Elephas maximus indicus: one gene and its partners. The main gene of each other region encodes a partner of the protein of the gene in region 3 in a complex. Links are inferred from orthologs where the notes say so. Each region holds a gene or a part of one and is shown on either strand. Other genes may lie near its edges.

Region 1 (7,218 bases), on a different chromosome or scaffold from region 3:
ACCCTGTGTGTACAGCCCCCGGAGGCACTTCTCTGTCCACCTGTTTGTCCACAGTGGAGTTGGGAGCGCAGTAAACCCTGGTCAGGTGAGCTCGGGAAACCTAGCTTAATCCCCAGCCTTCCCCCGCACTGAATCTGGCCTCAATTTTGTCCAGCACCGGGTCAGTATGAAGAAGGGCATTGGACTGGGGTTACTCAGACCTGGGTCCAAATCTGGCTCCAAATTCAAGGTCCAACACTTACAGCAGTGTCTCTTAACTTCCAACCCTCAGTCTCCACATCTGTAAAATGGGTATAAAAATTCTCATCTTGCAAAGGGGGAACATGTGTTTTCATACCGTAACGGACTAAGAGGTGTATGAACAAATACTGGATGTGACAATGTTGTCCTTCTCGGCTCCTGCCTCAGCTTGCCCTGCTCTCTCTGGCCTGTCCCTTCTAGCGCCTCCTTGCAGCGGCCAGCAGGTGCTGTCCTGAACATGGTTCAGGTGGAACCTTGCCCTTGCTCATAGCCCTGCCTCAGCTCCCCAGTCCTGAAGCCCCGCTCCTCAGCCTGGGATGGGGTGGGGGGGTAGAGCGTGAAGGAAGAACAGGATCGCCTGGGGGCTCTGTTGGGACACTTTAGAGATAAGTTCAGTAAGTGGTGACAAACAAGGACAGGTTATAGAGCAGGACTCATGGTTCTCAAAAATCAGGTGGCGAGGACAATGCAGATCCTGATTTATCTACAACTGCCTCACCCTCATCTCCCTGTCACTTTCTAGTTCAGGTTACTTCTCCCCTTGCCTGTCTCCTGCCCAGTCCAGCCTCCTGCCCTGTTGTAACCCTCCACGCTTCCCAAACCAGGGTCATGGGACCCCCACTGAGTGCCCTCGGCTAGGGGTTCTGGTCCTGCATCCAGTGCCCTTGGCCAAGTCACCCCTCATCCCGTGCCTTGGTCTCCCCAGATCAGCCTTCAAGGTCTGGGGGTAACAGGGTGGGAGGAGAACCTGGAACAACAAGAATGGACTGAAGGGTGGCAGAGCTGTAAGGGTAGACCAGGGGAAAATTTCTACAGGGTCTGCCCCAGAGAAGGGGTGTGGTGTTTAAGCTAGGCCTCTTTCCCCCTCCACCAACACGGCCATCTTTCAGGGAGAGAGAGAGGCCTGGCTGCCTCTGCCTGACCTGAGGAGGGTGGGTTGTGAGGGGCAGGGTAGGAATACAGCTTAAGATGCTGGGCTTAAGAGAGGCAGCCCAGGAAGAGCTGTGTCTCTTCCTGCATCTGCCAGGCCCTGAACTTGGCCCCAGACATGGCCATCCTCTTGGCACCATTGCCGGTCTATGACAAGCATGTTTCCTCTTCCTGGGAGGAGGGCAGCTCCTAGGGAGAGTGGGAGGCAGGGAAAAGCTCGAACCAGTCCCCCAGCCAAGTGGGGGAGGCTAGCCCTTCTTCCCAGCAGACAGCCAGGCAGGGACATGCAGGGTCAGCTCCTGGGACATACCACTCTAGGGGCAAGTGCGTGAGACAGCAGAGCTACCTGCCTAGGGGCTGAGTCCAGGGGAAATGCTCAATGAAAGTGTGAGGGCAGCCAAGAGTCAGCCCCAACCCTGGCCTGGGAGCTCCCAGTGTGGGGGCAGAGGAGGAGGAAGTGGAGACTCTGGGCCTGGCCTCCTGAGCCACCACGCTTTCTCCATTTTCAGGGGTCTGAGAGTGGGTGGCCATTCGGGATGCTCGATGCACAAGCAACTGCCACTGGCTGGGGAAGGGGGAGGCTGGACAGGCAGTAGGCTGAGAACGGTCAAAGCCCCAGGCATCCATCTCCTGGGACACAGGTGACAGAACAGGTCCCCCCAGGAGGGGACACAGAGGCACCTGATGGGGACCCAGGCCCAGTTCCCAAGGAGCCAGAGTTTGTGACTTGGGGCAGAAGGAGAAAAACCCAATCACCATTCTCTCCTCCTGAGCCCTCTGCTCACCGAACTGGGGGCTGGACAAACCCATCCACTCACAGGTGGAAGCTGGACCAGAGGGCTGGAGGCTGCAAATGTCAGGACCCCCACCCAGGGAGTGCTGGTCTTCAGGCAGGCTTGGGCTGTCCACTCCATCTCTGGTCTCCCCCAGCCACTGGCTGCTTCCCTTGCATCCTCCTGCCAAACTCTGCAGTGATTACCTGCTCTGAGCTCCTCTCCCCTGTGGGCTGGCTTTAGAAGAATAAATCACCTGTGCCACAATGCACCTGCACACAGCAGGGGTTCAGCGGGTGTCATGGCCCAGAACTTAGGATCTCAGGGGGCCTGCCTGCCCAGCCCCACACTAGAAAGGCTCTGGCTCTCAAGGAAGGGCTGTAGTCATTATTTCCATTTCACAGATGAAAAAACTGAGGGTACTTGACTTGCCAAAGTCCCACAACCAAGTAAAGGCATGGCGAAGATTCCAGCGGTGAACAAGACCTGAATCTTTCTCAGGTTAAAAAAAAAAAAAAATTCGGGGCGCCTGGGGAAGTGGGAACAGGAAGCTGTGTGGGCGCTCTGTCAGCCTTTGCCTTGACTGTCAGATCGCACGTTGCGGGGAGACACTGCAGGTGGTCCCGTGTCCACCCGCCGGTGGTCTCACCGTCGCAGACCCGGTAGGAGCGCCCGGAGAGGAGGTGCCCGCGTTCCGAGCCGCTGTACAGCCCCCAGCCTTCGGCCCCGCTGTCCTGGGCACCCGCCCGCCTCGGGCCCCGCTCACCGATGATGATGGTGCAGGCGCTCACCAGCCCGATCTCCTTCTTGAGCGCCACCCGTTCCGAGGCGCCGAGGCCGGGGCCTGGGCTGGGGGAGGGCGAGGGCGCGGGGATGGAGTTCCCGCGCCCGCTCGGCTGCTGCGTGTGCCCCGCCATGTCGCTGTCCCGCCGCGTCCCCGCTCCCAGCGCTCCCCAGTCTGTCCGGCCGGCAGCCAGTCCGTTCGGTCGTCTGTCTGTGCGCGCGCTGCCCTCGAGCCCGGACAGCGCCCAAAGGCGGGCGCATGCGCTGGCCCGGGGCCCGGGACCCGGGCCCTGGGCCGCCCGGGCCAGGCAGGGGCGGAAGGAGGGCTGGCCGGCAGCCCCTTCCCCCACCTCCCTTAAAGGGAACCCCCTTTGCTCCCCACCACCCAGTCCTGGCCAGGAAAGGAAGGAGGGGACTGGGGGCAGATTTAGGAAAACTTCTTAATTTAGTTGAGCGGAGGAAGGGGCCCCATTGCGCAGTTCTATTAATTCGCGGGGCAAGACTGCCCCTGCTCTCAAGGAGGCTGAGGAAGCTGGCAAGAGTAACAACTGTCCGTGGCCTGAGAATCCGCTGTGTGCCTGCACTTCAAAAAAATAAGTAAATAAATAAGCCAAACCCATTGTCGTCAGGTCAGTTCCAACTCATAGCGACCCTATAGGGCAGAGTAGAAGTGCCCCATTGGGTTCCCAAGGAGCAGCTGGTGAAATTGAACTGCCCTTTTTTTGGTTAGCAGCCAAGCTCTTTACCACTGCGCCACCTGGGCTCCTCCACTTCCATACTCCTTAAATCCTGGCACAGACCCTGGAGAGTGTCGATGTGTAGAATGAATGCTGTGCACTTTCTACAGGTGGAAGCTGAGGCCCAAAGCTAAGTAACAGAGTTCACAGAGCAAGTGGTTGGGCCTCCTCGGCGTCCAGGCGGTGATGGCCCGGTGAGGTCCGGCTGTGGGAGGGGTGGGAGCTGTGCCCCGGGGCCTCTACGAGGCGACAGGAGACTCTATGCACCTGGGATCAAATGTATGGGGAAATGGAGTCGGGGTAAAGACCCGGAGCCCTAACCCTCATCCAGAGGGGAGTCCAGGCCTTTGTGGGAGTCCTGGAGAGCGCTCTGCCCGTCTCCACCCATTGGCTTCTGGCAGGAAGTCCTGATTGCAGGCGGCTGCTCACAGGTCAGAGGCCGGTTCAGCGAACTAGAACTCTGGTCCTTGACGCAGGCCGCGGGTAGTCCAGCACGGCACCAGCTAGGGGGTTCAAGGAGGCCAGGCCACCTCTACTGCCAAGGGGACACAGAGGGAGGAGCTGTGGCCCCCGGGGTCGCGGGAGGGGCTCTGTAGTGTGGGCCCCAGGGGGGCAGCCTCCGCCCGTTAGCTGTTCGGATTATGTAGCCCCGGCCGGCAAGACAGACGCAAGGGGGCCGCGACAGGGCCACCGGGGCGGCGGGCGGGGCGAGCCTGGCATGGTGCAGGCCGGCGGCGGAACAGCCTTTGTCCTTTCCTGGCGGCCGCCGCGCCGCGCCGTCCCCTGCATGTGGATGAGGTCGCGCCGGGCGCCCCGTCCTTCCCCCGCCCGCGGCCGCGGGGCATGCGGGGGGCCGGGCCGGGGTCCGACGGCCGCGGGGCGGGCCAGGGTGGGAGGGGGCCGGGGTTGGATCCGGGCTGGGGTGGAGCATCGAGGCTGGAGCGCGGCTGGACCCAGGGGCTTTGCCGGCGAGGAGGGGCCTTCGAGGTTGGGGGTGGCGGGCTGGGAGCAGGAGCCGGACGACTGTGGGTGGACATGTTGGGGGGACACAGAGGGGGAGGCCACCCGGAGAAGCCTCATGCCCCTGCGCTCCCGTCGGAGTCCGGCATTCTTGGCGCCCTCCGCCTCCAGCTCCAGAGACGCGCTCCGCGCCGGTTTTCTTAAAGGAGCCTGGCGCAGGATGGGTGTGGGAGGCCGGGCGTACGGGCCCTGGAGAGTCCTGGTTTTTGCGGGTGGTGGGTTGCCGGGGTCTTGACTTTCCCTATCTAGTTGCCCTCGCAACGCTGCGGTCTGCGGGATAAGGGTCCAGCTGGTTGTCAAGAGACGGGACTGGCGCTGGCCTCACCGGCAAGAAGCCTGTGGGTTTTTTTTTTTTTTTTTTTTTGAGGGGGTGAGTCTCTTGTGAGACCTGAAATGTGGAGTGTGAGTATGGGGGGAAGGGGCGACTCCAGGGGTGCGCACCCGATAGACTTTATGTCCTCTTGTCCAGTCATTTTAGTGGAATTGCACTGGCGAACTCCCGTGGGAAAAAAAAAAAGGCTGGTAAGGTTGGTTTACCATCCAAAAATCAGTGTATTCCCCACTTTAACAGAGAAAGAAAAAGTCCTAGGACCTTTCCATTAGATGCAGAAAACACTCATTCATGATTTAAACAAGAAAAACCTCTTAGCAAAATAAAATAGAAGGGAACTTTTTGAGACTCCCCCAAAACAAAAAACAACAAAGCAAAAAAAAAAATCCTCCAAACAAACAAAGGAAAAAACAAAAAAGCTAGAGCTAACATCATGCTTCATGGTGCAGTATTGAACTTCTTTGCCACTGACGTTGGGAATGAGAAAGGTTACCAGAGCTCATTATGTCTATTGAACACTGGGCTGGGAGTCTTAGCCAGTGCAATAAGGGAAGAAAAAGAAATAAAAAGATGTGAAGACAGGAAAGGAAGAAATAAAACTGACATGATGTGATTGGGTGTGTAGAAAATCCCCGAAACTTCTACAAGTAAACTTAAAGTTGATTAGTGAATTTAGAAAAATCAATGGATACAAAATCAATTCCAAAAAAACTAATCGTATTTCTATATACCGGGAACAACTAAAAAATGTATAGTATAAAAATCAAATACCTAAGAATATTTCAATATCAGTCGACGGCACTGGGTTGGGTTGGTAAGAATAATAGTCACAATTTATACATTGATAACTACAAAATGTTCTTGAAAATATTTTAAAAGATATAAATTTTAAAAATTTCTGTTGTTGAGAATGTATACAGCAACCAAAAAAACCAAACCCGTTGCCATACAGTCGATTCCAACTCATAGCGACCTTATAGGACAGAGTAGAGCTGCCCCATAGGGTTTCCAAAAGTGGCTAGTGGATTCGAACTGTGGACCTTTAGTTACCAGCTGAAAGCTTAATTGCTGCACCACCAGGGCTCCATACACAGCAAACATATACCAATTCAACCATTTCTACATTTACCGCTTAGTGATGCTGATTATGTTCTCGAACCATTAACATCAATTCACTGCCCCCTCAGGTTCCCATCTCATCCTTTGAATTGGTATTGTCAATTTGATCCGGTATAAATAGTCCTTAAAAGAGCATAATGTTCAAGGCAGACATTTTTAACTAGTAAAGTTAAACTATTGTTTGGTTTTAAGAAGACTTCAGGGCATATTTTTGTTTTAAGTTTTAAAGATTATCTCAGGGGAATAGTTTCAGGGGCTTATTCAACTGTCAGAGCTCCAGGAGGTCAAGAGTCCATAAAAATTTGAAATTCTATTCTGCATTTCCCCCCTTTGATCATGATCCTTCTACAGTAATGGTAGCCAGGCACCATCCAGTTCTGGTCTCAAGGCAAAGGACGCAGTTGTTCATGAAGGCAATTAGCCACACATTCCGAATCCTCTTCCTATCCCTACTCTTCCTCCTTTGTTACAAAAAGTGAATAGAGACCAATTGTTGTGCCTTGGAGGGCTGCTTGCAAGCTTAAGCTTTAAAGACCGCAGGCACTAAGCAACGAACTAGGAGGTAGAACAGAAGCACCAAACACATCATGAGGCCAGTTAACTGGGATGTCCCAGGAAACCATGACCCTAAACCTCCAAACCAAAGAACCGAAGCAGCCTCAGCAGCTACTCTTTTTTATTTTTTATTTGTCATTGTTGTAAATACGTCTACCTAGCAACTTTTGCCAATTCAGCTTCTTACAAGTGTACACCTTTTGAACAACAATTACAATAATCTGCTGTGCAACCCTGCCCTTAATCAATGCAGACATTTCCCTCACTGTTAGCCCCCCTTTCCCCCTCCCTCCCACCCTGGGTAGACCCTGATAAACTTTGTTCTCTATGCATTTGCCTGTTCTTGCCTTTTTATGTAAGTGAGGTCATATAATATTTGTCCTTTTGTGGTTGACTTATTTCACTGAGTATAATGTCTTCCAGCTCCATCCGTATTGTAGCCTATATCAAGATTTCATTTCTACTGCTAGCTGAGTAGTATTCCACTGTATGTTATGTACCATATTTTGTTTATCCATCCATCTGTCGATAGGCATTTAGGCCGTTTCCACCTTTGGGCTATTGTAAATAGTACTGCCGTGAACAGTGGTGTACAAGTCTCTGTTCCAGTCTCTGCCTTCAAGCCCTTTGGGTATACACCTAGGAGTGGAATTGCTGGGTCATATGGTACTTCTTCTTTTCCAATATGTATACCTTTTATTTCTTTTTCTTGTCTTATTGCTCTGGCCAG
Region 2 (8,080 bases), on a different chromosome or scaffold from region 3:
CATATTTTGGGGGGACATAATTCAGTCCATGACACGGACAAATCAGAAGTAACATTCACCTAACTGAAATCATATTTATCATACCAAACACCCCCATTTCTTCACAGTCTTTGAAAATTGTTAATGGAAGAGATAAAAACAACCTCAGTACATAGGAAAATGCCCTCTAACCTTGAATACCTGCACATATGCTGGGATGGGTGAGCAAGGCTGAGATAGGAGGAAGGAGGTTTGAGTGTGTTTGTGTGCCTGTGGGCGTGTATATCTGTGTATGAATCACAGCCTTCCCAAAGGGAGGTAAACATTTAATCCTATCAGTCAAACTGGTGAAAGGGGTAACAGCTTCCGGGTTATTTATAGACTTCCAATTGGCATGTGCTGTACATATTGAGTACTTTGCTGATCTCATTTTTTAGAGCAAAAGTGATAAAGGAGATGGGAAAACAAGGGAAGTAATGAGAGATTCAGACCATGACTCTAAATTTTTTAAATAATATTACCTTTTTTATAACTGTAGATGCCTAAAAAGCCTCCCAGAGCCAGAGAATTAGATAAAATGAGATTCCATCTTGAAAACAGAGTGGAGATAACATGATCATTGTTAGTCTGGGTGCAGAGGTGAAGAGGATTATCTAAATACCTTGACTGGTTTTATTTGATTTCAAGGGTGTTCTCCAGTGTCACTATTGCACTGGTGCCCAATAGTCTCTGTGCTACTGCCTGAAACATGGTGTCACCCAGAGAAATGGACCCATGGGAACCAGGACACAATCAGCCTTCACATAGGAATTCTGGAGAGATAACACAGAAACATATCCAAGCCTGACAGTCCCATGCCCCTTTCTCTGGGAAGAAGGAAAAAAAGCTCTCTACCACAATATAGAAAAAACTTGCCCTGCTAGCCACTTCTGCCGAAGTGAGGGCTGTAGTGAGCTACTACCAACTACCCATCTCGAGGGCCTCTCTGGAAAGAGGAGGATGTGCTGTCTAGAGGTGCGGCCGTATTAGGAACCCCTCTGTCCTATAGAGAGGAGCCTGGGTGGTGCAAGTGCTTTGCGACCAGCTGCTCACCTAAAGGTTGGCAGCTTGAACCCATCCAGCAGCTCTGTGGAAGAAAGGCCTGGGGAACTGCTTCCATAAAGATTACAGCCAAGAAAACTCTATGGAGCTGTTCTACTCTGTAACACATGGGGTTGCCATGAGTCGGAATCGACTCAAGGACAATGGGTTTACAGGTCCTGCAGAGTGTATGGGGGCTCAGGGCTGCCTGTACTGGCAGTCTCAGGGACACTCAGGAGCTGCAGCTTCAGAACCTCCCAGTCAGAACACACATTTTACCTATTAGTTCCCCTCTGACTCCACCTTCTAGTTACCCTCAGTGCCTCTGGAGAACCTCATCGGGGTTTCTGTGAGCAGTAAGAGACAGGTTCACTCTATCAGGCAACCAGAGAGACTATAAACTATCCATCTACAAAAAGGCACAATCTGTCTCCTCTGTTCTTCCATGATTTCCTCACACATGAAATGAGAAAAACAGCTCTGTCACATCTACTTCACAAGGTTAAAGTGCTGTATAAGATGGAAAAAGCTATAGGAGTGCAAAATATCATTACTGCTGTTGTCGCTGTTTTTATTATTACACACCCTCTAGGAATATGGTTTCACATAACATGAAACAACAAAACATCTATTAAATACGTCTCAAAAACCAGCCCACAGGCTGCTGAGGAGATGGCTGCAGGAGAGCTTGTGAAAAATTTCAGTCCACCACCCCCATCTCACGCCTGCTGAATCAGAGCCTCTAAATGTGGAACCCAGAGCCCTATTTTTTAACAAGCTCCCAGGCAAGGCTGACCATCAGCCAAACTTGTGAACCCTATCAGCTCCATCCTATGAACACTGGACAGAACTGTTCAGGTTGGCTTGGAGGAATTGATATATAACATATATCACTTGCCCACTCCTATGCCTCTCGACCTTGACCAGCGCAGGTAGGTTAGAGCAAACGTGACTGACAATCCTTTTCTAAATGGGTAGGAAGCAAAAATAGTGCTTTAGAGGTGTTAAGGTTCCCCCAAGAGGAGCACCAGAGAAGGGGAGGAATGGTCAGTGGGAAAAGGAATTGGACTCACCTACAATGATACCACAAGCACTGACCAATCCGATCTCTTTCTTCAGGGCTACTCCATCCCCTCCGGAACCAGTCTTGGAGCTGGCATCTGAGTCAGTCCCACCTGGGTGGTTCTTTTCAGTGTTGTTTCGTTGCCTGGCTCCTTTTTCCATCTTTCTCAGTAGGATTTCAACCTCCAAAAGGTATCTTTCTAAAAGAGCATGTGTGTGCGTGTGTGTGAGTGTAAATATATTTAGAGGAAGCCTTCAAATTAAAATGCCCTTTTCTGCAATAAGGACCACTTCTACCCTCTAAAGAAGATACAAGCAGATTTAAATTTAAAAAAAAAAAAAAGGGAAATTGAAAATACTACTCTGTATGGGCACTTTCTTGTCACCGGTGCTTACAAACAAGGAAAGTGTGATTAAAAAGGAAAATAAGAGACGTATATATTTAAATATAAAAATAGAACTGTACCAGCTACTCTCTCTGGAATTCTGCCGAAAGGGATGCAAATCTTCAGAAATCAGGATGGTTCTGCTCTGTGTACCCAGCAGTGGCTTATTTCAGACTATCGAGAAGGCAGCCTGACTCCCCTTCAGCTCTCCTCCTAATAAGACAGAGATTGTCTTTACCTCCCCTTAGCTTTTTCTTTTATAATGAGGATAAAAGTAGTTTTCTATTAGCTGAAGGGGGAAAAAAAAAAAAAGGCAATCCTCAGGTACTTTCTTCTCTCTCAGAAAATCAAACTGTGGACCCGACCGGTTTGTTCTAGATCTTGTTTCCACCTGATGTGGGTTTCTTTTCCCTTCCCTTTCTGCCTTCCGCTCTTTCCTGGTGTCCTTTTATTTCTCGCCCGTCTTCTCGTCCTTGTTTTCCTTCTTCGGATCGCCGTCCTTAGGGCACAGGCTGCCCCATCTCTCTCTGGATTACAGGAGAGTGCCTCCTCCACACACGAAAGTGCCTCCCTTTGATCGAGGGCTTTTATTTGCTAAACTAGACTCCGCCCCCACCGCCCCGGTTCCTCTCCATCCTCAGTCCTGTCTCCTCCCTCCCCTTCAATTTAAATATTACCACACGGCCCCACGGATCTCTGAGAAAAGATTTTCAATTCTTTCTTTCTGTAATCGGCTCTCTTTCTACATCCGTCTCCTTGAAACGAAGTGGAAGTAAAATCCTTCCATGTCAACGGTTCTGGGAGAGTTCATTAACTAGTATAGCGTGACAGGTCATACAGCATTTGTGAGCTATATAAACAAGGAACAGTTGTGCAGACACTGTGAACACCAACAGAAATAAACTAGCTGATGTATTTTAAAATTTTTAACTCTGGGTCATTTGAGGCTACAGAAGAGAAGGTTATAGGCTTCAAGTTTCTGAACATGGGGGAGGGGAATCCACTTGTGAGGGAGGGGTATAGAAATAATACTGGTTATAATAATGGCAAAGAGGGTCATTTAGTGTGCTTCTGAGCTATGACGATTGTAGAGGAAACAAAATCACCAGAAAGAGGAGATAGTCTCACTGTTCACAGCTCTTATTTAAAGGTGGCTGAGACAGGACTCCTACCCACCCTGTTTCGGGAAAGAATGACACAAAATCTGGTTGGATGGGGGCCTTTCACGATTCCTAATATATTTTTGCATCTATAAATTACTTAAAAAGCCAAAAATATAAAACGCATTACCGTCAAGTTGATTCCAACTTGCAGCAACCCCGTATGGTAATGTTAGTCATTTCTGACACCAACGTGTCACCAGGTCAATTCTTAAATCAATTTAGTGAGATGTTGATAATCCCCATCTGCTTTTTAAGTCAGGAGTATGAGTATGACTTAAAAAGCAGATGGGGGGGCAGGGATTATCAACAGCTTGCCGAGTTAGTGTAAGAATTGACTTGTTGGTGTCAGAAATGACTAACATTACCATACAGGGTTGCTATGAGTCGGAATCAATGGGTAGCACACAACAACAACCAACCACATTGCTATTGTGCTTTGGCTTCCCTGAAGAATTTCATCCAGAAACTGCTGCCTTACAGTGAGAGCAATGATGTCTATCTATAGTAGTAAAGTACTTTGATACTACAGCATGAAGCAGTATAACAGACAGGACTAAACATCTAATATAAAAAGGTGGCTTAAATGGTTAAGAGCTTGACTGTTAACTGAAAGATTGGCGATTCCAACCCATTGAGAGGTGCCTTGGAAGACAGGCCTGCTTCTGAAAGGTTACTGCCTTGAAAACCCTATGGAGTAGTTCTACTCTGCACACATGGCGTCACCATGAGTTAGAATCCCCTTGATGGCAACTAACAACAACAATTAAATATATTATGCAAAGCGATTTGATTTTAAAGTAGGTCTAAAAATACTGTTTCTCAAGCTGACCACTAACTATAGAAATTTGGCTTTGCCTTTTGGAAAATGTTCCAAAACATTTTGGATTTTAAGAAAAATAAGAAACTTAATTTCTTAAAATGGGGCTGGTTGAACTATTGAAGTCAAGACTTTTCCAAATGGGGTAAAGTCTAGTCAGTATTTCACTCTGCTTCTTGATCACTCAGCAAGTATTAGAGGTTTCAAAGGTTGGGAGTCCCACCCCTTCTTCTGTCAGTTCAAGATATAACAAATTGAAAGCCTCAGCAAAAAAAAAAAAAAAGAAGCAGGGGGTGGGGTGGTATAAAGAGGATTTTCAACAAAAAGAAAGGCAGCCAGGGAATATAGCACAAAACTCTACAGGAGAGGATGAGTCATAGGAAATGAAAAGATTTTGAGGGAAAATTTGGTGGATTCATTTTTAAACAATCCAATTTGAAGACTTCTGCTCAGATTTCACCATCAAGGTATAAGGCAAATAATCTTCCTGCTTTTCAAATGTGCATTTTTTCAGTAATGTTTTGTATTTCATATTTAAATGATTTAGATTTAATACAGGCTATAAAACGTGAATATGATGAAGTCAAGGTCCCTTGCCAAAATCCGTGTAAACCCATCACGATATGGTAAGTTTAGCAATCTCAGTTTATGAATTAAGAAGCTAAGGAGGAGTTATAGGATCAAATACATTCTTGGGATACAATGGTACTCCCGTTGCCACCTAGTTGATTCTGGCTCATAGCAACTGCCTCATAAGGTTTCCTGGATCCTTGAACTGGCGACATCTTGGTTAGCAGCCAAGTTCTCAATCACTGCACAACCAGGGCTCCACAATGGTAAAAGTGTACCAAACTGGAAAGGAATGGTTGTTGAAGATTAATGTTTCTATTATTTTAACACTTAGCATTTACAAGTAGTTTATGACTATTAATGGTGCAATATAAAGCTAGGAAAGTAATCTTTCCTCCTTCAAATGGACCATGTATTCATATTCTGTGGCTTTCTTGAGGTTGAGATTTTTTTTGAAAATAAACTCTAGGTGTGTCAAAATCCCATGTGATTAGCATTGAACACAGGAGAGAAAGAAGGGTCTTGGTGTAATGTGCTGCAAAAAAATTTGTAGAAATGATTAATGAAAGTTTGTTAAAATTTGAGCACTGAATTCTTCTTTATTCTTAACTCTACCTTTGCATTTATATTTTTAATCCATTCTCTACATTTAAATAGTACTTTACAGTCTACAAACTGTTTTATGCACAATATGTCTTTTTTTCCTCCTCATTAAAAACTTTGAAAAACTAGACTTACTGGCCTGACAGAGACTGGAAAAGCCCTAAGAGTATGGCCCCCAGACATCCTTTTTAGCTCAGTAATAAAGTCACTCCTTAGGTTCACTCTTCAGCCAAAGATTAAAAAAAAAAAAACCAAACCCGTTGTTGTTAAGTCAATTCCGACTCAAAGCGACCCTATAGAACAAAGTAGAACTGCTCCATACAGTTTCCAAGGAGCACCTGGTGGATTTGAACTGCTGACATAGTGACGTTAATCACTATGCCACCAGGGTTTCCAACCAAAGTTTAGACAGGCCCATAAAAGGAAATGAGACTAAAGGAGCATACCAACCCAGGGCCAAGGGCTAGAAGACAGGAGGGAACAGAAAAGCTGGTAATAGGGAACCCAAGGTCGAGAAGGAAGAGTGCTGACATGTCGTGGGGTTGGTAACCAATGTCACAAAACAATACGTGTACTGACTGTTAAATGAGAAGCTAGTTTGTTCTGTAAACCTTCATTTAAATTACAATAAAAAAAAACTTTGAGTACACAAGGCAGTTATTTTTCCCATTTTAAAAATTAGGAAGCTGAGGCTTAGAGAAGTGTTTACCTTAGGTCAAAGACAATACATTTAATCTACTCACTACCAAGAGGGATATCAATGGCACTTTTCCCAGGCAAAATGATGCTTCATTTTTAGAGCTACTTGTTAATGCTTCAGCTTCTTTCACCTGGGGGAAACAGAAGACTTTTAATCAGGAACATGGCCTCATCTTCTTGAACTGGCATATAACTGTGACTTTTAGAGACCCATCTTGATGGCAGCATTTAATATCTGTTCAGTGACTTAATCTGGGTCTCCCACCACCACCATGTGTTATCCCTTTCACACAGTCTTCAGTTTGTCCATTTTCCAAGTAGAATAGTACTTTAGTACAACTCTGTTTCCAATACCTAGGTGACTATTTACAGTTGTTTTGCATGCTTAAGATAGAAGAAATTGATTCCTTTAACCTAGGAGCGGGTGGGTGAAAGGGTTGGTTTCTTCTAAATACGGATTTGGGAAGAGAAAGGCTGTGTATGGCTGACACCTACTGCACAAAGAGGGACATGGCATGGACACATGCTACTTGTATGAGTTAAATAATAAAAATACCACCATGTTCCAATATTTTTGAAACAACAGGTGTCATGGGTTGAATTGTGTCCCCCAAAAAATATTTGTCAACTCGGCTAGACCATGATTCCCAGTATTGTGTGATTGTCCACCATTTTGTCATCTGACGTGATTTTCCTATGTGCTGTAAATCCTACCTCTATGATGTTAGTGAGGCAGGACTCAATCTACAAGATTAGGTTGTTTCTTAAATCAGTCTCCTTTGAGATATAAAGGAGAAGCAAGCAGAGAGACATGGGGACCCTATGACCAAGACAGTAGAGCCAGGAGCGCGTGTCCTTTGGAGCCGGGGTCCCTGCACTGAGAAGCTCCTAGAGCAGGGGATGATCAATGACAAGCACCTTACCTCGGAGCCCACAGAGAAAGACCTCCCCTGGAGCTGGCATCCTGAATTTGGACTTCCAGCCTCCTAAACTGTGAGAGAATAAATTTCTCTTTGTTATAGCCATCTACTTGCGATATTTCTGTTATAGCAGCACTAAACGACTAAGGTAACAGGTAAGAAGCATCTGAACACAAAGGAATAGAGCACAAAGTTCATTCACTCCATTCTTAATTTTTTTTCTGAGTTCAATAGACAAGCACTTTATTTTTGTTCTTTGGAACAGAGCTGTGCAGTTTGAGGTCACTTAGAGAGGACTCAAATCTCTGCCTGGAGGAAACTCACAGTCCACGCTCCCACTCCATTCTTCTTATACTTACATTCCTGGAGCCAGAGGGAAATCTGATTTAGATTAAATCCAGCTTACCAGTGGCCCTCGCCTATGGTCAAATAGGCAGTAGCTTCCAAAGCCATTGGCTCTAGGAGCCTTTATTTCATTTAAAAACTGAAAGCAGATGAAAATTAGTGAAAGAAAAGGAAGGAAATAAAAAAGACAAATCAATCAGTTAGTATGCTGTTTGCCTTTTGGACATATTCATAAGTTCGAGGGAAGTTGTATTTTCTGGGATTTATGCACTCCTGAGAATTTGGGTGAAACTACTATAAGCAGGTTCCAGTTTGTTATGATGGTCAATTAATTCATGCTCTTCTGGAGATAATGATGAATCCTTACTCTGACACTTGAGACAAAAATTCCAGCATATTACTCTTCTGTCTGCTGCACTTGGCCTGTTCCCATGAAGCCAACCCAGCACTGTTGTT
Region 3 (7,630 bases):
AAGTTACCCACATATGGTATTGTATTACAGCAGCACTAAGGAACTAAGACAGGATCCAAAATGTCAGTCTCAGGACGACAAGACAACTATATTTTCCAACTATATTTTCCTGGGGAGAGTGTGAGTAAAAGAACCTGACCCAACAGGCCAAGGATGAAAGATTGAAATTAGAAACACAGCCCTAAGGCAGTTCAGACGAAGGTTTGAAAAGAGGAAGCCAGCTCTGCAGAACAGGCCCAGGCCTGAAGACCTGGCATCTCTCTGGCACACACCATGGAACCCCACCTCCACTGTACCTTTTCTTCCCTTTCTCTCACTGCTCCATGTACCGTCTCCTCCATCTTCATCTGAGGCTACCACCCCACACAACATGCCATCTGAAAACATTCCCTTATCAGTAACTTGTAAAGGATCTTCGAACCATTGGCTAGGGCTAAACTAGATAACCCCAAGGGTCCTACCCAAATGCTGGAAATCCAAGGTCAAAATCACAGTAGCCAGAAAGTGTCAGAGTCTGCCTCCATGTCTGTTCTACCCATTCTGAACTGGTCAGTGCCCTAGAACCCAGGCATCAGGAGCTGGAGCCGTGTTCAAAGCCCCATTCCCAGCCTGTTGAGTAGAGTTTGAGCCTACACCTTAAGGTAAGGGAGACTTGAGAAGTAGATTACTTGGGACTTCAAAGCCTTTACTAGCTGAGAGACCTTGGGCACACCAGGCCCCTCTGAACCTTAGCTTCCTTGTTTACACATTAAGAATAATGGCGGATACTGCCCATGGTTATACAGGAGATTGAAAAATGTATATAAAATACTTGGCACAGTCCCAGATACACAGGAAGCCCCAGTACTTACAATTTCACACTGAGTTCCACCCAAGACACATCAAACAAGAACTGAGAAATCAATCAGGGCAGAATTCCCACACAGAAAGTGCTTCCTTTCCCCAAAGGAAGGAAAGTCAAACTTCCAGACTCACATCTGAGATATTCCCTTCCTGGCACTGTCACCCACAAAGTCAGAGAAACAAGAAAACTGAGTAGTCCGAAAAGGAACAAGAAAAAATGGGGAGACTGCTGGCCTATCCTTCCTGCTGAGGGAGGAGGCAATCCTGCTTGGCTCCAAGAGGCAAGGGGCCCCTCAGCAGGACCTGGGACTAAGTGTACGAGGCTTCCTGAGAAAGGACCAAGACGACCCCAGCATCTGGCTCCCGTCTGCCATCAAGCCCAACACACTCACCTTCATCTTGGTGGCCACAGTGCCAACCTCAGTAGGGAGAAACCACGAGTTCTGGCCCCTATAGTTGGGAGTGAGGTCCAGAATGACCTGGATGCCTGGAACAATGGAGGAAGAGGCAGTTGTGAGAAAGACTCTGAGTGAAGGGAAAGGAAAAAATAACACACACAATTCTGCTGAATGTTTCCTATGCATTACCAGGTATAAAAGCTTGGATTTGAACCCTGACAAAACCCATTCCTTTGAAACACAGATGTGACCAACCAAGGGTCTTAAGATCCTGTAGTGCAGATGTTAGAGAAGGCTGAGCTGTGGGGTCCCGGGGTTCCCATTCCCAAATAAACCCTTTCTAAACACTTTTCTCTATAAAGAGTTGTGAGGCAGTATTTCATTTGGGATTTTTTAAAAAAGATTCCACTACTTTACAAACTTAAGAACCATTAATCTAGTTAAAAAAAAAAAAATCCTTACATTCTGCAAATAAGGGCACTGAAACCCCAAAATTAAATGATCAGCTCAATGTCCAGCCAAGTAGAAAGTCCCGAATCCCTTGAGAAATCCATCTTTCAATCTAACACAGTTCCCTGGTTCCAGCCCTGAGAACATAGAGACTATCAGACAAAAATTTTATCCTGCCTGTCCTCTGGCCAGAAGGCCAGGCTTTCTAGCTGTTTCCTCGTGAACCCCAGGTACCTACTCTTTTTTTTGGCCGAATGCAGGAGACTTTCAAAATCTTCCTTGGAGCCAAAAGTAGGGTCAATTTCCTGCAAGTTGGTCCCAGCCAAATCATCCTTCTGGTTGTTGTGAACTGGGCCCAGCACAATGCCCTTCACCTTCAGGGTGCTTAGGTAATCCAGATGCTCAGTCAGGCCTGAAACAAGAGGTACCTGTTTCCTCTATCCTGTCCAAAGACGGAATAGGTTTAGACTGCATCACGAGACTCAGTGAAGCTGATGTAAGAATAAGGAGCCTTGCGCTCTGCTTCTGAAACCGGCTGTGACTGCCTCCTGGGGCCAAGAGGGAGGGGAGGATGATGAGTCAGCCACAATCGAGAAAGAGGGTTGGAGAACGACAGTTTTTCCTCAAAGCTGAAAGGGATTATGACACTGGTAGTCTTCCAAGACCCTGAGAAGGGTAGAAAGGAGGGTGAACCGGAGTAGTCTGCCCAGAGGAAACCAAAGGTGGGAGGAATGACACCAGACGCAGAAGTGGGGTTTAGGGATAAAACCAAAGGAGGCTTAAACCAGAGGCCGGAGGGTGGGGTATAAACCAGAGGCCGGAGGGTGGGGTATATACAGGAGAGGGGCGCGTCCTCACCAGCTAGGTTGCCCGCCTCGCCGGGCTGGAAGGCCTGAAGGTCACCGATGCGGTAGAGCGCACCCTTGTGCCACCACCTCTGCGTGGGCAGCTGGCGGCAGCGTGGTGCCTGCACGATGATGACCACGGCGCCTGCCAACATGCCCAGCCAGCCAAGCCAAAAAAGCACCAGCAGTGCCCAGCGGGTGCGCACCCAGCCGGGGCTGCCCGCCACCTTCAGCAGCTCCTCCTTAGACAGGCCCGTGAACTTGGCCGCCTCCGCCTCGTCGTCAGCCACCTTGATCTTCACCAGACCGTTCTTCTCGGCGCCGCCAGCCATCACCACGGCCACGGCTGCCCCCGACGCCGCGTTCATCGGCTGCTTCTCAGTCTCCACCTCGTTCAGCTCCACCTCCTTCATGTCCACCTCGGTGTCGTGGTTCATTGTGCCCGCGGAACCTGGGACAAAAGCAGCCTGCGCTCCGGTAGTGCCGGAGAAGTCCCCGACCTTCCGATCCCAGACAGGTCCCCGGACTACTGCACTCAGCCGCTTCCGCTACAAGGACTGAAACAGGGCAACGCGCTCGGGAAATTAGCCAGGGGAGCTCCGCCCCGGCCGAGCCAGCCCGCCCCTTAAGGAGGAAGCTCGGGAAGCCTCGTTCCGGAGGACAGCGAGAGTGCCACACGGGGAACAATGGTGGGAACACGCCTGCGAATACAAATAGGGAGGAATATGCGGCATTCTCCATCCTCCATCTCCGACTTGTTACCTGCCCCTTAGGCAACTTCACCGAGATGCTGGGATGGCTGAGAAGAGCCACGGGCTTGGAGCCACCTTTAAGTAGGCGGAGTCTGTGACTTGTCCGCCCCACCCCCGCGGGTCCCTCGGCTGCCAGGAAGTCAGGGTGGGGGTGGGGGAACCCAGCACCGGCAGAGCAAGGCCCTCGCCCACTCCTAAGACTGGTGACTTACCCCAAACCATCCCCTTTTTGCCCCAGACCCAAGCCACCTCCTGGGCTTTCCGATTTGTCACAGCTACTAGCGCTCCCTGAGCCAGGCAGACCCAACTTCTGCCTTTTTCCCCCACCAGCCTGCCTCTCTGGGCCTCTGGTACTTGGCACTAGGTCTTAGCTTCTCTGCAGGGCTTACTCCCTCTCGTCCTTCAAGACTCAAATTTTAGTTCAACTAATTCATAACGCAACAAATATTTACTGAGTGCCTACTACAGGACTCTGATCATCAAATTTATTGAATTCTCTAACCCAGTCTTCCCCATGATGTTTTAAGATTAATTTGTCTGGGCAGGACAGTTGAGACTGACACCCCCACTTCTTACCCTACCCTACACCCACTTTCTGGTGCCAGGATATCAGGCAACTAGGAATCAGACATCCAGAAAAGAGTGATGGACAACCTGGGATGACTGGGACTGTAGCCAAGGTTCCAGAGGTGGGCCTCAGCTAGAGGCATCCATCATTTTCCTAGATGACTCTTCCCCCACTTTGCAAGGCCTCCCACAAATTATCCCAAACTCCTCCAGGATGCCCACCACCCATCTGTCTCTGGGGTGGTTTGCGCGTTGCTATGATGCTGGAAGCTATACCACCGGTATGTCAAAGACAGCAGGGTCACCATGGTGAACAAGTTTCAGAGAGCGCAGCTTCCATACTAGGACAGACTAGGAATAAAGGCCTGCCAATCTACTTCCGAAAATTAGCCAATGAAAACCTTATGGATCACAACAGAATATTGTCCAATATAGTGCTGGAAGAGCCCCCTAGGTTGGAAGGCATTACATAAAAGCCCCAGTAATGGATTCAAACATACCAATAATCATCAGGATGGGGCAGGACCAGGCAACATTTCATTCTGTTATATGTAAAACTGCCACAAGTCGGAGCTGACTCAATAGCCCCTAACACCCACCACCCCAGGATGCCAGGGTCCTCTACCTCCCCGTCACTTCACTATGCCAGGCCTTGGAGAGGGCACGCTCTGCAGAGGCCTTGAAGATCTCCCAAATTCATGTCACAAAGGTCCTTGGATAGATGGGAAGTGGGAGAGAGACAGGTTCACAGTAGGGACTCACCAGACATGAACACCGTGATGTGCCAACATTCTCAGGAACTTTTTGTTCCTGAGCAGTGCCAGCTGAGTTATTTTCAGAGAAGAGCTGAAGGAAATAAGTTCTTTCTTCCTCTACCTGGGCTGGAAGCCAGGATGGCTGTGTATTTGGGAGAAAGCAAAAGCCAAGATCCTAATGGTAGATGGAAAGGGGTGCCAAAGAAGGGCCAAGGGTGTGAAGAGGCTCAGCCCCTTTCAACCTCCCAAAGCCCATACTCCACCCCTACCCCAGGGAAGTTAGAACCAACTCCTAGGGGAAGGCAGGCAAGTGGTAGAGACTGGGGTTCTGACGAGTGCTCAAAGATGATAAAAGGTCCAAGGTACCCTGGGCATGCCAGATAGTAGTGCCAACCAGAGCCTCTGGACAGACTTTGTCCCCAGCATGAAGACTCACTGCTGAAAACTGAGAACTGTGGGGTCAGAAGCTCTCCTTGAGATGGACCCACATAACACTCCCTAAGAACATGACATCTCACTCACAGCCCCCCATGGCTCCAGATGGATGAAGCCAATTCCTTCTACATCTAGTAATAAAGCTAACAACTTACCTGCCCCCCAAAGCTTCTCACACAGCACACCTTCTGTTCCAGCTATATCAGCCTTCGAACATCTACCAGTTTCAGAACACATCAGGCTTTCTCAGACCTCTGCATCTTTGTACAGGCCATTCCCTCTGCTGTTTTGCCTTTCCTGTTCTGCCACTCTACCTCGTAAACTCCTACTTCTTCCAGACCTAGCTTAAATTACAGCCTTTCCCAACTCCCCCGACAGAATTACTTTTCCTCCAGTGTGGCCATCTCTGCTACAACTCATGCCCCGTTTGTTTATTACATTTCCTGTCTGGGTATCTGTTTGCACTTCAAGACAAGTGGCAGGGACCATGGGCTAGCTGTCAATGAAGCTGCCTGCTCAGTGGGAGCATACAATAGGCACTTTATCAGTGTCTGGTAAAGGAGTGGATGAACTACATAAATCAAACCCAAATATTTCCCTTCTTAGAAACAGCAGTAGTAGCATGGTAAGCTAAAGGAATAAAAATGAACAGGAATTTAAACAACACTGTATCAAGATAAAGGTGTTTATGCACACCAAAGCTTATAACTGGTCAGCCGAAATAAAATTGTAAGTTTGGGGGGAAGGGAAAAACAGGACAGCAGCGGAGAATGAGTGGAGACAGAGGCCAGACAGTGACTAGATAGCCTCAGATTTGACACTGTGTGCTGACAAATATAAAACTGAGTATTTACTATAGGACATGCAAAGTATATAATTTGTCAAGAAGACTTTTGCCTTCAAGAGAAGGCTGTGGCAAAGCAGGAAAAAAAAAAAATGCAGTTCAGCAGTCAAAAAAGACCACATGAGGTCATGAGTCTGAGTGTTCTCCACTCAGGCGGGCAGACAGCATGGGGCCCTGCAAGGCAGAGGGCCAAGTGTACAAAGAAAGCTCCTTTCTAACTCCCTGTTGCAAAAATCCCTATCACGTGCTTCCCAGGAGATGAGGACTACCTGATCTTAGCCAAAAGATAGGGAAGTTACCCATCCACCCCACCTCCACCCGCCCCCAAGGTATTTTTACTGGCAGATAAAAAAAATCTCCAAATCCAGAGTGAAGATGAGAGGGAGACAAGAGAGAAGAATGGTCACACTGTCTCTGTCCAACAGACTCTGCAACTCTGCCAGAGAGCCCAAGGCATGATTCCAGGGACCCAGAAACAAAGCATCCAGGCTCTGTCTCTAAAATAACAGACAGCCAAGAAGCCCTGAGGATTTCAACCATTTGAAATTCAGCATTTGGAAGTCAAAGTGCGGCTGAGATGAAAGCAGAGGAGGCGGACCCCAACCAAAGGGACTCACTTGGCAGCTGTCATTTGAGAAAACCATGTTAGAATAATGTAGTTACCAAGAATCCCGCAGGAGGAAGACCGACCGCTAAAGCAGAGAACTGCTAGGGTTGTCTAAGTGAAGGGTGAGGAATGTGAGGGGGAGGGCGGCAGGAGGGATGGAAAAGCTGGTGATAGGGAACCCAAGGTTGAGAAGGGAGAGTGTTGACATGTCGTGGAGTTGTTAACCAGTGTCATAAAGCAATATGTGTACTGTTTAATGAGAAGCTAATTTGTTCTGTAAACTTTCATCTAAAGTTCAATAAAAAATATATATTTATATGCATATCTATATGTATACATACAGATGAATGTCTTTTAGACCTCAAAGAAAAGATTTCTTAAACAAGACACACACAAAAAAATGTGGACTATAAAAGATTACTACTTAAAAAAAGTTATTGTGGTCAAATATAGATAACAAAAAATTTGCTATTTTAACTATTTTTAAATGTACAATCAATGGGGTTAATTACATTCAACATGTCATGCAAACCATCACTGCTATCCATTCCCAAGGGTTTTTCATCAGCCCAAAGAGAAACTTAGTACTCCTTAAGCAGTAAATCCCCATCCCCCAGCCCCTGGTTACTACTAATAACCTTCTGTCTCTATGCATTTGCCTGTTCTAGATATTTCCTGTAAGTGGGATCATGTAATATGTGTCTTTTGTGTCTGACTAATTTCACTCTGTATAGTGTTTTCAAGGTGCATCCATGTTGTAGCATGTATCAGAACTTCATATGTCTTTATGGTTGAATAATACTCTATTGTATGGCTATACTACGTTTTGTTTATCTATTACTCTGTTGATGGACACTTGGGTTGTTTCTACCTTTTGGCTGTTTGTGAATAATGTTGCAATGAACACTGGTGTACAAATGCTGTTTGAGTCCCTGCTTTCAAGTCTCTTGGGTGTATCTATCTAGAAGTGGAATTGCTGGGTCATATGGTAATTCTGTAACTTTTTGAGGAACCATCAAACTTTTTTATAGCAACTGCACGGTTTTACATTCCCACTAACAATGCGTGCCCCCACATATCTATCAGTTTGTCGTGCTGTGGGGGTTTGGGTGTTGCAGTGATGCTGGAAGCTAT

What was found.
Region 1: the proteins of SLC3A2 (region 3) and SLC7A10 are in contact, whole or in part, in a cryo-EM structure (PDB 8WNT), measured with the Homo sapiens proteins. The link is inferred for Elephas maximus indicus from reciprocal best matches to the Homo sapiens genes SLC3A2 and SLC7A10. Residues at the interface, in NP_002385.3 of Homo sapiens: Phe161, Thr162, Gly163, Leu164, Lys166, Leu169, Leu170, Val172, Ala173, Trp178, Arg182, Leu186, Phe189, Trp190, Trp193, Met196, Leu197, Ala200, Ile203, Ile204, Ala207, Pro208, Arg209, Cys210, Arg211, Glu212, Leu213, Arg534; in NP_062823.1 of Homo sapiens: Leu147, Val150, Phe151, Asn153, Cys154, Pro157, Ala160, Val163, Leu164, Met166, Ala167, Met170, Leu171, Trp174, Ser352, Val359, Glu481, Thr484, His485, Trp486, Gln488, Glu489, Leu490, Phe492, Val493, Val494, Tyr495, Gln497.
Region 2: the proteins of SLC3A2 (region 3) and SLC7A8 are in contact, whole or in part, in a cryo-EM structure (PDB 7CMI), measured with the Homo sapiens proteins. The link is inferred for Elephas maximus indicus from reciprocal best matches to the Homo sapiens genes SLC3A2 and SLC7A8. Residues at the interface, in NP_002385.3 of Homo sapiens: Thr162, Gly163, Leu164, Ser165, Lys166, Glu167, Leu170, Ala173, Gly174, Trp178, Arg182, Leu185, Phe189, Trp190, Trp193, Met196, Leu197, Gly199, Ala200, Ile203, Ile204, Ala207, Arg209, Cys210, Arg211, Leu213, Lys532, Arg534, Asp558, Gln559; in NP_036376.2 of Homo sapiens: Leu147, Leu150, Phe151, Pro152, Thr153, Cys154, Phe155, Pro157, Ser159, Gly160, Leu163, Leu164, Ala166, Ile167, Leu170, Leu171, Trp174, Gln294, Ser352, Met356, Val359, Glu481, Thr484, Leu485, Gln488, Lys489, Met490, Cys491, Val492, Val493.

The regions. Positions count from the first base shown.
Region 1 is NC_064839.1:15,224,598-15,231,815, forward strand, and holds the start of SLC7A10 (asc-type amino acid transporter 1), read right to left. Parts: upstream 3,006-7,218; 5' UTR 2,861-3,005; coding exon 2,710-2,860; intron 1-2,709. UniProt on the Homo sapiens protein: Associates with SLC3A2/4F2hc to form a functional heterodimeric complex that translocates small neutral L- and D-amino acids across the plasma membrane. Preferentially mediates exchange transport, but can also operate via facilitated diffusion.
Region 2 is NC_064828.1:34,543,860-34,551,939, forward strand, and holds the start of SLC7A8 (large neutral amino acids transporter small subunit 2), read right to left. Parts: upstream 3,066-8,080; 5' UTR 2,588-3,065; exon of another isoform or gene 2,322-2,587; 5' UTR 2,284-2,321; coding exon 2,133-2,283; intron 1-2,132. UniProt on the Homo sapiens protein: Associates with SLC3A2 to form a functional heterodimeric complex that translocates small and large neutral amino acids with broad specificity and a stoichiometry of 1:1.
Region 3 is NC_064825.1:126,011,215-126,018,844, reverse strand, and holds the start of SLC3A2 (4F2 cell-surface antigen heavy chain), read right to left. Parts: upstream 3,085-7,630; 5' UTR 2,974-3,084; coding exon 2,550-2,973; intron 2,104-2,549; coding exon 1,930-2,103; intron 1,331-1,929; coding exon 1,236-1,330; intron 1-1,235. UniProt on the Homo sapiens protein: Acts as a chaperone that facilitates biogenesis and trafficking of functional transporters heterodimers to the plasma membrane.